Linked DNA regions of Callithrix jacchus. Each later gene encodes a partner of the first gene's protein in a complex. Links are inferred from orthologs where the notes say so. Each region holds a gene or a part of one and is shown in the gene's direction. Other genes may lie near its edges.

Region 1 (7,122 bases):
TGCTGGTTAAACCTTATGTTTCTGTGGAATTTCTCTCCACAGAAGAGATAGAGACAGAATGGCTTGCTGGACTAATGTCCCAATTCAATAGAGCCTTACCTATGAAGGTAAAAACAAGAAGAGACATATTATACTGTAGATATTTATTGTGTGGCTCATACACATAGTGCTCTTCTGATTATGGGTTTTAGGGATAACAGTGAACAAGACATAGTTGCTTCCCTCAAGTAGATTACAGTCATATGTTGACTTTTAATGGTGATTGACATTCTTAATACATTATTATTATGTATTAGATACCATGTCAGATTAATTATGTTTTATTACTTTTAATTTAATCCTTTAACTACCCCTATTGAGTCAGATATATTTCCTCCCATTTCCTACTTGTATCTTTCAAATTTAGCATCTGAAGCTCTCTCCAGGTTTTATTGAAAAAAGAAAGAAAGAAATGTATGAATGTCACTGAATTAGGTAACTCACTTTCCCAAGATTATACAAGTGGTACAGCTGGAAGTCAAAGCCAGGTTTAACTAGTTGTTCAGAAGCAAGTTTTCCCCCCTACACTAACCTATTACTCTCAGATGGAGATAATATGACAAATGGAGCATAGGAACATTTTAGTTGATTCTGACCAAGTGTTCTCTGTTTTATTTTCTATGTTAGACAGTTTCTTGCCTGGCTGAAAACACATTGACTTCTTTTTTTTTTTCAGGCTATTAGTTCGTTACACCAAGAAAGTACCCCAAGTGTCAACTCCAACTCTTGTAGAGGTCTCAAGAAACCTAGGAAAAGTGGGCACCAAATGTTGTAAACAGCCTGAAGCAAAAAGAATGCCCTGTGTAGAAGACTATGTGAGTCTTTAAAAAACATAATAAATTAAAAACACAAAATTTTACCTTTAGATATTGATAATGCTGACTTTTAGGAGCATAAGGGAGTAATGTGTGTGTTCATGTTTTTGTGCGTGTGTGTGTGTGTGTGTGTGTGTGTGTGTGTGCATGTATGTGTGCTATTGGCAGCCAGGGCCCCAGAGATGATAAATTGTTTTTTAAAAATTTATGCATTTTCAGGGTTCAATCCTAATGTTCTCTAAATTTTTACTTTCTTTGGGGGATCTATTCTTTAATGTATCATTATAGGACTATTTCTTCTTCACTGTAACACATGTCTCAGCACATATTGCCTGAAATTATTTTCATCAATTGTTTTCTCAAGCAAATTATTCTTGAAATGTAGACATTTAATTAAAAGGAAGAGACTTTTGAAAGTCCTTATTTGTAGTTTAAACACAAGTCACTGCCTCAAATCAATTTTGGATTCAACATTGCTAGTTGAAACATAATACTTATTTTGGTGCACTGGAAAGTCAGAAGTTCATGGAAAATTTTCAGCTTTAACTCTTTTGAATTTTTGCTCTCCTGCCTGTTCTTTAGCTGTCCGTGGTCCTGAACCAGTTGTGTGTGCTGCATGAGAAAACACCAGTAAGTGACAGAGTCACCAAATGCTGCACGGAATCCCTGGTGAACAGGCGACCATGCTTTTCTGCTCTGGAAGTCGATGAAACATATCTTCCCAAAGCGTTTAATGCTGAAACATTCACCTTCCATGCAGATATGTGCACACTTTCTGAGAAGGAGCAACAAGTCAAGAAACAAACGTGAGAAGTATTTCATTACTGCACGTGTTTGTAGTCTTGATGGCAAGAACTGTCAATTCAAATTATTAACTTTTCCTGAAGTAGTGATTACATTTCTTAGAGGAAAGTATTGCCATTATTATGCTGATAAAAGTACCCAGAATAAGATGAATAACTTTTTAAAGACAAAATCCTATGTTATAATATTCCTAAAATTATTCAGAGTAATATTGAGGAGTAAAGCCACCATAGAATAACATCTTAGGCCATGATCAGTAGAAAAAGGTGAACAATTAACTGATAAATTTGCACACATGGCAACTTATTTAGTAGGAACCATAGGATAATTTATTTCTAGATGTAAATAATTATTTTAAGTTTGCCCTATGGTGACCCCACACATGAGACAAACACCCAAGATGTGATTTTTATGAAAAAGACTTGAATAAAAAACATCTAGAAATGCAAGCCCTGAAGCTTAACTCATTATTGCTATCACAGGGGTTAGAATTGCATGAAATTTAGCAATAGAAAGTTGCTGTCATCTCTGGTGGGCTGTAATCACGGTCTAGGCTTAAGAGTAATATTGCAAAACCTGTCATGCCCACACAAATCTCTCTCTGGCACTGTTGTCTTTGCAGATGTCAATGAAAGAGAACCAGAAGCTCCAATGAGTTTGGATAGCCTTATTTTCTATAGCCTTTCCATTAATGACTTTGAATGGAGCAAAGTTTAAAGACCAAATATAAAGACTCTCATCTTTATAGATGAGAAAAATTTTAAATAAATTCCAAGATAATTAAATTTTAAGGATAAGTTTTAGCTCTTAAATAGCTATAAAACCCAATATAACATAATATGGCACGTCCAAAATCTGAATAATATATAATTGCAATGACATACTCCTTTTCAGAGCTGTACTGAAAAGATATTTGTTGATACTACATAACATGATGAGTGGTTTATACTGATTATTTCATCTGATCTCCATGAAGGTGGATTTTATTATCCTCATCATGCAGATGAGAATATTAAGACTTATAGAGTTATGCCTGAGTGCCAAAGTACTCAGAGTTGGGGGTTCCAAGATTTATAATCTTAAATGATGGGACTACCATCCTTACTATCTCCATTTTTCTATGTGTGAGTAATGTTTTTCCTGTTTTTCTTTTTCTTTTTCCATTCTAACTCAGTGCACTTGCTGAGCTCGTGAAACACAAGCCCAAGGCAACAAACGAGCAACTGAAAACTGTTATGGAGGATTTCGCAGCTTTCGTAGAGAAGTGCTGCAAGGCTGACGATAAGGAGGCTTGCTTTGCTGAGGAGGTACTACAGTTATCTTCATTTTAATATGTCCAGTCTTCATTTTTGCATGTTTGGTTAGGCTAGGGTTTAGGGATTTCTATATCAAAGGAAACTCTGTACATGTGGGACAGGGATCTTATTTTATAAACAATTGTCTTACAAGATGAATAAAATAGCTGTTTGTTTTATCTCCTGCTCTATTGTGCCATCCTGTTAAATGTTTATAATGCCTGTTCTGTTTCCAAATTTGTGATGTTTATGAATATTGGTAGGAATATTTTTAAGGCCTGATCATTAAATCAAAACATTAATTTATTTAAACATTTTCTTGAAAAGTGGTGGTTTGTGATTTAGTTGATTTTATAGGTTACTGGGAGAATTTACATTCAAATGTCTAATCACTTAATATTGTCCCTTGTGGCCTGACAATACTTTTTTTTATTCCTTTGGGGACAACTATGTCTGTGAGCTTTCTTCTAGAGATTATAGTAGTGAATTGGAATTAAAGGATATGATGCATATGAAATCATTTTGCAATCATCAATAGCTTCATAAATGCTAGTTTTGTATTCTAATAGTAATGCTAATATTTTCCTGATATCTGTATTTCTTTTTATTCAGGGTCCAAAACTTGTTGCTGCAAGTGAAACTGCCTTAGCCTAAAGACATGGTAACTAAGAGCATCTCAGGTAACTACATTTTGAATTTTTTTAAAAAAGTAACTATAATAATAATAATTATTAAAAGAGCAAAGATTGACCATTTCCAAGAGCCATATAGACCAGTACCAACCACTATTCTAAACTATTTATATACGTATATATTAGCTTTAAAAATTCTCAAAATAGTTGCTGAGTTGGGAACTATTATTATTTCTATTTTGTAGATGAGAAAATGAAGGTAAACATCAAAGTATAGGTTAAGTAATTTTCCAAAGGTTCACCCAGCTAGTGAATGGTGGAGACAAAATACAAAATTCAAACCAAAGTCTAAGTGTTACCCATTATCCTATCCTAACTTATATGTCCTATTCTAACTTATATCATTAGTATTAGAGAATAGTAATTCCTAGAGTATTCCCTGAAGAGCCATCCAAGTAAGTTATGGCTCAGCAGGGAATACTCTAGGAATTAGGCCAAACCATACGAAAGAGGCCTTTATAGGGCAAATACAGTTGAATATCAGTTATTTCATATGGTTCAACTTAATAGTTCAACTAATTCTTTCCATTGGACAATATGATGGATCTGCCTTCTGTGAACTTTATAGTGAACAATCTGCTATTAAATTTCCAATTTGTCAACAAGCTGAGCTTTAATAGGACTTATCTTTTTATGACAAAAGGGCCCACTTTAAAATGTAGATGTTCGAGCATAAGCATGTTTTACCTATTTTGTGTGAATTATTTTGGAAGAATTAAAAAATAGAACCACAACAGAACATGTTGTTAAAAATAAGTTATTCAACTACTTTAAAAAAATAGAGATGGGAGATATCTCTTTGTTGCCCAGGCTGGTCTCAAACTCCTGGGCTCAAGCAATCCTCCCACCTCAGCTCCACCCAAAAAGTACCGGCATTACAGGTGTGAACCACCATGCTGGCTTCAACTACTTTTTAAACATGAGTTATTTTCATATTTTCCAAACTGACTGTGATGTCTACTCTACTATTATGATTTAACTTCCTCTTTGCCCATATGACAATACCTACATATGCATTCAGGCAAGAAAGAAACTTTGCATCTCTACAAATTTGGTAGTGTGAAGATGTGATTTGTTTTGGTCCTAAGTGGAAAGATTTTCTTCATAAAGTTCTAACTTTGAGAAGATATGTTTTTGCTTGTAATAACTTAGGTAAGATATAGAGGTTGAATAAATAACTCTGAGGAGTGATGATGAAAAGCCTCTGACTTTGAAGCTTGAGTCTGATGGCACCAATGGTGTTCCCTTTCACCAATGGTGAAAAAGGAGCTTCACAACTTTTATTGGTGTGTCCTTTTGCCTAGCTCAACAAAAGGAGAATTCAGCAGCCATAAGACTACGACAGGCTTAAATTATTTTCACTGGCGGAAATTGCAGAAAGATGGCCTAAGTAATTTGGCATTTATTTTAATAGATTTGAAAAACACAGCCATTTTGCAAATAGGGCTGATATTTGTCCTTTTGTTTTTCAGCCTATCACGAGAATAAGAGAAAGAAAATAAAGATCAAAAGCTTATTCATCTGTTTTTCTTTTTTGTTGGTGTCAAGCCAACACCCTGTCTAAGAAACATAAATTTCTTTGATCATTTTGCCTCTTTTCTCTGTGCTTCAATTAATAAAAAATGAAAAGAATCTAAAAAAGTGGTCCAGCACTGTTATTTTTCAAAGGTGTGTTGCTATCCTGAAAATTCTGTAGGTTCTGTGGAAGTTCCAATGCTCTATCTTATTCCACTTCAGTAGAGGATTTCTAGTTTCTCGTGGGCTAATTAAATAAAACATTAATACTCTTCCAAGTTATGGATTACAAATATTAAAAATAATATTTTGATATAATAACTATGAATAAAAGAACAAAAACTATGGTATAGGTAAGGAATGTAAAACATGGCTTTTCTCTCAGAAAAAAACAGTTCTAAAATTCATATGGAATCAAAAACAAGAGCCTGCAGAGCCAAAGCAACACTAAGCAAAAACAACAAATCTGGAAGGATTGAATTACCTGATTTCAACCTATACAAGGGCATAGTCACCAAAACAGCATGGTACTGGTATAAAAATAAGCATATAGACCAGTAGGAACAGAATAGAGAACCCAGAAAGAAACCCATATACTTGTAGCCAACTGATCTTAGACAAAGCAAACAAAAACATTAAGTGGGGAAAAGACACCTTTTCAACAAATGGTGCTAGAATAATTGGCAACCATACGTAGGACAATGAGGCTAGATCCTTATCTCTCACCTTATACAAAAATCAACTCAAGATGGATTAGGAGCTTAAATTGAGATCTAAAACTATAATAATTCTAGACAGTAACATTGGAAAAACACTTCTATATATGAGCTTAGGCAAGGATTTCATGACCAAAAACACAAAAGCAACTGCAATAAAATCAAAGATAAATTGCTGGGACTTAATTAAACTAAAAAGTTTTGCATGGCAAGAGAAACAGTCAGCTGAGTAAACAGACAACCCACAGAGTGGGGAAAAAAATCTCACTATCTACACATCTGACAAAGGACTAATATCCAGACTACAATGAACTCAAACAAATCAACAAGAAAAAACAATTCCATCAAAAAGTGGGCTAAGGACATGAATAGACAATTCTCAAAAGACTTAAAAATGAACAACAAACATGAAGAAATGCTCAACATCACTAATGATCAGGGAAATGCAAATTAAAGCCACAGTATGATACACCTTACCTCTGCAAGAATGGCCATAATCAAAAAATTTAAAAATAGTAGATGTTGGCACAGATGCAGTGAACAGGGAACACTTCTACACTGCTGGTGGGCACGTAAACTGGTACAATGCTATGGAAAACAGTGTGAAGATTCCTGAAAGAACTGAAAAAGAAGTACCATTTGATTCAATAATCCCACTATGGGGTATCTACCCAGAGGATAATAAGTCATTATACAAAAAAGATACGTGCACATGCATGTTATAGCAGCACAATTCACAATTGCAAAAACATGGAACCAACCCAAATGCCCATCAGTCAATGAGTGAATGAAGAAGTTGTGGTATATATGTATATAAGACACACACACACACACACACACACACACACACAATGGAGTACCACTTAACTATAAAAAAGAACCAATTAATGATATTTGTAGTGATTTGGATGAGATTGGAGACTATGATTTTAAGTGAAGTAACTCAGGAATGGAAAACCAAACATTGTTTGTTCTCACTCATAAGTGGAAGCTAAATTATGAGGCTGCAAAGGCATAAGAATGACGCAATGCACTTTGGCGACCAAGGAGAAAAGGGTGGGAAGGGAGTAAGAGAGAAAAGACTACAAATATGGTGCAGTGTATACTGCTCGGGTGATGGATGCATCAAAATCTCACGAATCACCACTAAAGAACTTACTTGTGTAACTAAATGCCACCTGTTCCCCAATAACCTATGGAAAGAAAAAATTTTTTAAAATAATAAAATAGCTAATAATATTACAAA
Region 2 (7,592 bases), on another chromosome or scaffold:
AATGCTGGCGCCCTCTAGAGGCTGGGAAAGGCAAAAACACGGATTCTTCCCTGGAGCCTCCAGCAAGAGCACAAAACCTGTGAGTATCCTAGGTGGTTCAAGAAGCTTTCCGAAGGCCAGGCACAGTGGCTCATGCCTGTAATCCCAGCACTTTGGAAGGCCAAGGCAGGCGGATCACGAGGTCAGAAGTTCAAGACCAGCCTGGACAACATAGTCAAACCCCACTTTTAAAAAAAAAGAAAAAAAAAATGAGCTTTCTGAATGTCCTGGTAATATTACAGCAGGGCCCTGGGGACATGAGAGCTAAGGCTGGTTTTAGAGGAGGACCCCACAGTGATGGCAGACTTCCAGGAAAAGCAGAGCAGGCTCCTGGGGGCACTGAAACAGGCCGTTGAGGACTCCGTCAGGGTCCAAAGAACCGTAAAATGGGCCCCAGGGGCTGCTGGAAGAATGTCCTGAAGATTTTACAGGATCCCAAGGAAACCAGAGGGGACAGCTAAGGACAGGGCAGGTGCCTCAGGGTATTTTTGGGAAGAGCTGAGGATGCTGTAATCAGGGTACTCGGGAGGTTAAAGCATGTTCTTTCTGTGTCTTAGGAGCGGGCCTCGGGCGGTTCTCTGTGGATCTTCTCGCAGGACTCTGGGAGAATCAGGAAGGTGAAGACATTCGTGACAAGGAGAGCACAGATTAGAGATTTACCTGATGGTTAAGTTTTTTGTTGTTGTTTTTGAGACAAAGTCTCGGTCTGTTGCCCAGGCTGGGGTGTTAAGGCGTGATCTCGGCTCACTGAAACCTCCAAATCCCAGGTTCAAATGATTCTCCTGCCTCAGCCTCCCGAGTAGCTGGGATTACAGGTGCCCACGACCGGGCCAGGCTAATTTTTAGTACAGACAGGGTTTCGACATACTGGTTTCGAACTCCTGACCTCGGGTGATCCGCCTGCCTCGCCCTCCCAAAGTGTTAGGATTACAGGCGTGAGCCACCACGCCCGGCCTTTTTTTTTTTCTTTTTTTTTTGTAAATAGAGACAGGGTCTCCCTATGTTGCCCAGGTTGGTCTCAAACTCCTGGACTCAAGCGATCCTCCCACCTTGGCCTCCCAAAGTGCTGGAATTACAGGCATGCACCACCACGCCTGGCGTCCCATCAGACTCTGAACCAGCTAATTGTCCACTAATCCTGGAGACCAGTTCCTAAAATGAATCTCTCTCTGTGTATGCATATACACATTCTGTGGGTTCTGTTTTCCAGAGAGCCTGACCCAGCAGTCCCACTCCCGGTGTATACCCAAGAGAACTAAAAACAGACCAGGTGTGGTGGCTCACACGGTCATCCCAGCACTTTGGGAGGCCAAGGTGGGAGGCTGTCTTGAGCCCCTCAGTTTGAGACCAGCCTGGGCAACATAGCGGGGCACTATCTCTGCAAAAATGCAAAAATTAGCTGGGCCTGGTGGCGGGTGCCTGTAATTCCAGCTACTTGGGGAGGCTGAAGCAGGTGGAGCGCTTGACCTGAGAGGTTGAGGCTACAGTGAACCATGATTGTTCCACTGCAATCCAGCCAAACCCTATCTCAACTTAAAAAGAAAGAAAGAAAAGACTTCATGTTTGTTATATGATTCAATTTCTATGAAATGTGCAGAATCGGCGAATCTATTGAGACAGAAAGCAGAGGAATGGTGGCTGGGGGCTGGGAGCGGGGTGGTTAACGGGAGCAGACCTTCTGTTTGGGGGTGATAAAAAAGCTCTGCAACTCGATAGAGGTGACAGTTGCAAAGCATTGTAAATGTATTAAATGACAGTAAGGGTAAATTTTTTTTTTTTTTTGAGACAGAGTTTTGCTCTTGTTACCCAGACTAGAGTGCAATGGCACGATTTCGGCTCACCGCAACCTCCGCCTCCTGGGTTCAAGCAATTCTCCTGCCTCAGCCTCCTGAGTAGCTGGGACTACAGGCGCGCACCACCATGCCCAGCTCTTTTTTGTATTTTTAGTAGAGACGGGGTTTCACCTTGTTGACCAGGATGGTCTCGATCTCTTGACCTCGTGATCTACCCGCCTCAGCCTCCCAAAGTGCTGGGATTACAGGCGTGAGCCACCAAGCCCAGCCCAGTTTTTTTTTTTTTTTTTTTTTGAGACGGAGTTTTGCTCTGTCACCAGGCTGGAGTGTATGGTGACAGGGTGCATGGCACCATCCCGCTAACTGCAATCTCCGCCTCCCAGGTTCAAGCAATTCTCCTGCCTCAGCCTCGAAAGTAGCTGGGATTACAGGCACGCACCACCACACCCGGCTAATTTTTGTATTTTTAGTAGAGATGGGGTTTCACCATGTTGGCCAAGATGGTCTCCATCTCCTGACCTCGTGATCTGCCCACCTCGGCCTCCCAAAGTCCTGGGATTACAGGCGTGAGCTACTGCGCCCGGCCAGTAAGGATAAATATTTGGAATATTTTACCCCAGTGAAACAAGTGCATAGGGAGCTTTGTAGCAGGAGTGTGGGTGGGGCCGCAGCTATGGGGACTGTGTGGCCACTGAAGCCCCATCAGGATGTTAAAGAGCACCTGCAGGAACTTTTTAAGGGGATGCGGCGGGGCTTGAAGGAGACACTATGGAGGCTTCCAGAAGGTTCTGATGAACAGTGGGCGCTGGGGAGGGCCACGGAGATACAAAGGGGCAGGAGGAGGATCCAGAGACCTCCAAGTTGTGGACTCTGGGAGCGTCCAGTTCCTTTCCTAGCTCTGCCAAGAATTCCCTGGGAGGTGGGCACCCTCCAAGTAAAAAACAGGAACCATGGAGAAGGAGGAAAAAGAACCACAAACGTTTTGAGAAACAAACAGGCTGGGCCTGGGGCCTGGGGTGTGCCCTGCAACTGGGGGGTGGGGCTGGATTTTGTTGGACTCAGGGAGCAGCAGCCTCCCCTCCCACAGGATGTGAGAGAGGAACCGGGGTCTCCAGTCACGGGAGCCTGGAGCCAGCCAGGGCCGCAGGCAGGAAGAGAGCGAGGCTGAAGGGAACGTGAGCAGAACAGGGCCCAACTGAGGGAGGAGGGCTGGGGGGTCTGGACTCCTGGGTCTGAGGGAGGAGGGCTGGGGGTCCGGACTCCTGGGTCTGAGGGAGGAGGGGCTGGGGTCTGGACTCCCGGGTCTGAGGGAGTTGGGGCTGGAGGCCTGGATTCCTGGGTCTGAGGGAGGAGGGGCTGGGGGTCTGGACTCCCGGGTCTGAGGGAGGAGGGGTAGGAGCCTGGATTCCTAGATCTGAGGGAGGAGGGGCTGGTGGCCTGGACTCCCGGGTCTGACGGAGGTGGGACAGGGGCCTGGATTCCTAGATCTGAGGGAGGAGGGGCTGGGGGTCTGGACTCCCGGGTCTGACGGAGGAGGGGCAGGAGCCTGGATTCCTAGATCTGAGGGAGGAGGGGCTGGGGGCCTGGACTCCCGGGTCTGAGGGAGGAGGGACAGGGGCCTGGATTCCTAGATCTGAGGGAGGAGGGGCTGGGGGCCTGGATTCCTAGATCTGAGGGAGGAGGGGCTGGGGGCCTGGACTCCCGGGTCTGAGGTGAAGGAGGAGGGACAGGGGCCTGGATTCCTAGATCTGAGGGAGGAGGGGCTGGGGGCCTGGACTCCCGGGTCTGAGGGAGGAGGGACAGGGGCCTGGATTCCTAGATCTGAGGGAGGAGGGGCTGGGGGCCTGGACTCCCGGGTCTGAGGGAGGAGGGACAGGGGCCTGGATTCCTAGATCTGAGGGAGGAGGGGCTGGGGGCCTGGATTCCTAGATCTGAGGGAGGAGGGGCTGGGGGCCTGGACTCCCGGGTCTGAGGTGAAGGAGGAGGGACAGGGGCCTGGATTCCTAGATCTGAGGGAGGAGGGGCTGGGGGCCTGGACTCCCGGGTCTGAGGGAGGAGGGACAGGGGCCTGGATTCCTAGATCTGAGGGAGGAGGGGCTGGGGGCCTGGACTCCCGGGTCTGAGGTGAAGGAGGAGGGACAGGGGCCTGGATTCCTAGATCTGAGGGAGGAGGGGCTGGGGGCCTGGACTCCCGGGTCTGAGGGAGGAGGGGCTGGGGGCCTGGACTCCCGGGTCTGAGGGAGGAGGGACAGGGGCCTGGATTCCTAGATCTGAGGGAGGAGGGGCTGGGGGCCTGGACTCCCGGGTCTGAGGGAGGAGGGACAGGGGCCTGGATTCCTAGATCTGAGGGAGGAGGGGCTGGGGGCCTGGACTCCCGGGTCTGAGGGAGGAGGGGCTGGGGGCCTGGACTCCCGGGTCTGAGGGAGGAGGGACAGGGGCCTGGATTCCTAGATCTGAGGGAGGAGGGGCTGGGGGCCTGGACTCCCGGGTCTGAGGGAGGAGGGACAGGGGCCTGGATTCCTAGATCTGAGGGAGGAGGGGCAGGAGCCTGGACTCCTGGGTCTGAAGGAGGAGGGGCTGGGGCTTGAAGGCGGTGGAAGGGGCGGGGCCTGGACTCTCAGCCTATCAAGTTTCTGTAACTAATTAACCAGCGGCGCTCCAGTTTAGGGGTGAAAGTTCTTCGGGTGGGAGGCGGGCGTTGCTGGCCGTCGGGACGGAGCCCGCAGAGCCCCTAGTCGGCGTCCCGGTCCGGCCCTGCCCGCGGAGCCTCGGAGGAAGGGGCGGGCCGGGGGTCGGGAGGAGTCACGCGCCCCCTCCCGCCCCAGGTCGTCCTCTCAGCATGGGGCTCCCGCGGCCGCAGCCCTGGGTGCTGGGGCTCCTGCTGTTCCTCCTGCCTGGGAGCCTGGGCGCAGGTGAGGGCCGCTCCGGGCCGGGGCCGTGCAGCGGGCGGGCGGCGGGAGGCGGCCCCAGGCGGGACGGGGCGAGGCCAGCGGGACCCGAGTTCCCCGGGAGCGCCGAGCGCTGCCTCCTCCACTCCGTTCCCTTTCTCTCGGTCTCCTCCCCGGCCTAAGGCTGCGAACCGCCTGTCGCGTCTGTCTCTGGGTCTCCGTGCCCTTCTCTCTCTCTGGGTCTGTCCCTTCCCCCCGTCTGTGTCTCCCCCTCTCTCTCTGGGTCTCTGTCCCCCTCTCTCTGGGTCTCTGTTCCCCCCTTTCTGTGGTCTCTGTCTTCCCCCTCTCTCTGTGGGTCTCTGTCCCCTCCTCTCTCTGGGTCTCTGTCCCCCTCTCTCTCTGGGTCTCTGTCCCCCTCTCTCTGTGGTCTCTGTCCCCTCCTCTCTTTCTGGATCTCTGTTCCCCTCTCTCTGGGTCTCTGTCCCCCTCTCTCTCTGGGTCTCTATTCCCCTCTCTGGATCTCTGTTCCCCTCTCTCTGGGTCTCTGTCCTCCTCTCTCTGGGTTTCTGTTCCTCTCTCGGAATCTGTCCCCCTCCCTCCATAATAGATTCTTCTCCCTCCCTGGGTGTCTGTCCCACTGCAGTCTAGTTCCCACCCGTGTGCTCGCTTCAGCTCTGTCTTTGTCTGCAGAGAGCCACCTCTCCCTCCTGTACCACCTCACCGCAGTGTCCTCGCCTGCCCCGGGGACTCCTGCCTTCTGGGCGTCGGGCTGGCTGGGCCCGCAGCAGTACCTGAGCTACAGCAGTCTCCGGGGCCAGGCGGAGCCCTGTGGAGCTTGGGTCTGGGAAAACCAAGTGTCCTGGTATTGGGAGAAAGAAACCACAGATCTGAGGATGAAGGAGAAGCTCTTTCTGGAAGCTTTCAAAGCTTTGGATGGCAAAGGTGAGACTCGGACTCCTGGGTCTCAAGGGGCGAGAGGCTGGGGCCGTGCTTCTGGGCCCCGCTTACCTGCGTGTGGGGGCCCCAGGTCCCTACACCCTGCAGGGGCTGCTGGGCTGTGAACTGGGTCCTGACAACGCCTCGGTGCCCACCGCCAAGTTCGCTCTGAACGGCGAGGAGTTCATGAGTTTCGACCTCAAGCAGGGCACCTGGGGTGGGGACTGGCCTGAAGCCCTGGCCATCAGTCAGCGGTGGCAGCAGCAGGACAAGGCGGCCAGCAAGGAGCTCACTTTCCTGCTACACTCCTGCCCCTACCGGCTGCGGGAGCACCTGGAGAGGGGCCGCGGAAACCTGGAGTGGAAGGGTGAGCCCCCTGCAGCCCAAGCTGTTCGTCCTCTCCCCCGCCACGACCCCTGCCTCAGGGCTCCTGCCAGGACCCTCAGTTGGCCTCCCACTGAAGCCCATGGTCTGCCCCCGCTTCCTCAGGCGTCCTTCTGAACCCAGCACTCCCTGCCCCCCGCCCGCTCACAGCCTTCACATGGCTCCCCAGAGACCCCCCCAGGATAAACTCCTGGCTTCCTTGCCTTTGTGTGTGTGTGTGTGACAGAGTCTCACTCTGTCGCCCACACAGGAGTGCAGTAGCATGATCTTGGCTCACTGCAACCACTGCCTCCCGGTTCAAGGAATCCTGCCTCAGCCTCCCTGTAGTCCACAGGTGCTCACGACCACACCCAGCTAACTTTTGTATTATTATTTTTTTTTTGAAACAGAGTTTCGCTCTTGTTACCCAGGCTGGAGTGTAATGGCGCGATCTCGGCTCACCGCAACCTCCGCCTCCTGGGTTCAGGCAATTCTCCTGCCTCAGCCTCCTAAGTAGCTGGGATTACAGGCATGCGCCACCATGCCCAGCTAATTTTTTGTATTTTTTAGTAGAGATGGGGTTTCACCATGTTGACCAGGATGGTCTCGATCTCTTGACCTCGTGATCCACCTGCCTTGGCCTCCGAAAGTGCTGGGATTACAGGCTTGAGCCACCACGCCCGGCAACTTAATTTTTGTATTTTTAGTAGAGACGGGGTTTCACAATATTGGCCAGGCTGGTCTCGAACTCCTGACTTTGTGATCCACCTGCCTCAGCCTCCCAAAGTGCTGGGATTATAGGGGTGATCCATTGTGCCTGGCCTTTGCCTTTTTTCTTTTTTGAGACAGATTCTCACACTGTCTCTCCAGGCTGGAGTGTGGTGACACAGTCTCGTCTCTCTGCAGCCTAAACCTCCCAGGCTCAAGCGATCCTCCCACTTCAGCCTCCCGAGTAGCTGTGACACAGCCCAGCAGCAGCACACCAGCTCACTTTTTGTTTTTCTAGACGCGGTGTCTCACTGCGTTGCCCACGCTGGTGTGGAACCCCTAGGCTCAAGTGGCCCTCCTGCTTTGGCCTCCTGAGGAGCTGAGATTACAGGTGCACACCACCATACCTGCCTATTTATTTATTTAGAGATGGAGTTTCTCTCTTGTTACCCAGGCTGGAGTGCAATGGCGCAATCTCAGCTCACTGCAACCTCCGCCTCCTGGGTTCAAGCGATTCTCCTGCCACAGCTTCATGAGTAGCTGGCATTACAGGCACACGCCACCATGCCTGGCTAATTTTTTGTATTTTTAGTAGAGATGAGGTTTTACTACATTAGCTAGGCTGGTCTCAAGACTGCTGACTTCAAGTGATACACCCATCTCAGCCTCCCAAAGTGTTGGGATTATAGGCGTGAGCCACCGCGTCTGGCCATACGTGGCAAATGTTTAACACTTGTAGAGATGGCATCTCACTGTGCTGCCCAGGCTGGATTCAAACTCCTGGCCTCAAACAGTTCTCCCACTTTGGCCTCCCAGAGTGCTGCGATGACAGGTGCTCGGCCTTCCTGGCTTCATGTCCTCCTCA

Evidence for each region. Proteins that work in one complex are often made in the same cells at the same time.
Region 2: the proteins of ALB (region 1) and FCGRT are in contact, whole or in part, in a crystal structure (PDB 6QIO), measured with the Homo sapiens proteins. The link is inferred for Callithrix jacchus from reciprocal best matches to the Homo sapiens genes ALB and FCGRT. Residues at the interface, in NP_000468.1 of Homo sapiens: Arg105, Glu106, Thr107, Tyr108, Gly109, Glu110, Asp113, Asn133, Asn135, Gln441, Ser443, Pro445, Thr446, Glu449, Leu484, Leu487, His488, Thr491, Pro492, Val493, Tyr521, Val522, Pro523, Lys524, Thr530, Phe531, Thr532, Phe533, His534, Asp536; in NP_001129491.1 of Homo sapiens: Arg65, Glu67, Glu69, Gly72, Ala73, Val75, Trp76, Gln79, Val80, Ser81, Trp82, Trp84, Glu85, Lys86, Thr89, Arg92, Asn172, Lys173, Leu175, Thr176, Leu179, Phe180, His184, Glu188, Arg192, Gly195, Asn196, Trp199, Lys200, Glu201.

Annotation. Positions count from the first base shown.
Region 1 is NC_133504.1:124,639,944-124,647,065, reverse strand, and holds the end of ALB (albumin), read left to right. Parts: intron 1-715; coding exon 716-854; intron 855-1,436; coding exon 1,437-1,660; intron 1,661-2,832; coding exon 2,833-2,965; intron 2,966-3,565; coding exon 3,566-3,607; 3' UTR 3,608-3,633; intron 3,634-5,117; 3' UTR 5,118-5,286; downstream 5,287-7,122. UniProt on the Homo sapiens protein: Binds water, Ca(2+), Na(+), K(+), fatty acids, hormones, bilirubin and drugs. Its main function is the regulation of the colloidal osmotic pressure of blood. Major zinc transporter in plasma, typically binds about 80% of all plasma zinc.
Region 2 is NC_133523.1:43,278,589-43,286,180, forward strand, and holds the start of FCGRT (IgG receptor FcRn large subunit p51), read left to right. Parts: upstream 1-2,917; 5' UTR 2,918-3,007; intron 3,008-4,492; exon of another isoform or gene 4,493-4,657; 5' UTR 4,658-4,671; coding exon 4,672-4,744; intron 4,745-5,392; coding exon 5,393-5,662; intron 5,663-5,747; coding exon 5,748-6,023; intron 6,024-7,592. UniProt on the Homo sapiens protein: Cell surface receptor that transfers passive humoral immunity from the mother to the newborn. Binds to the Fc region of monomeric immunoglobulin gamma and mediates its selective uptake from milk.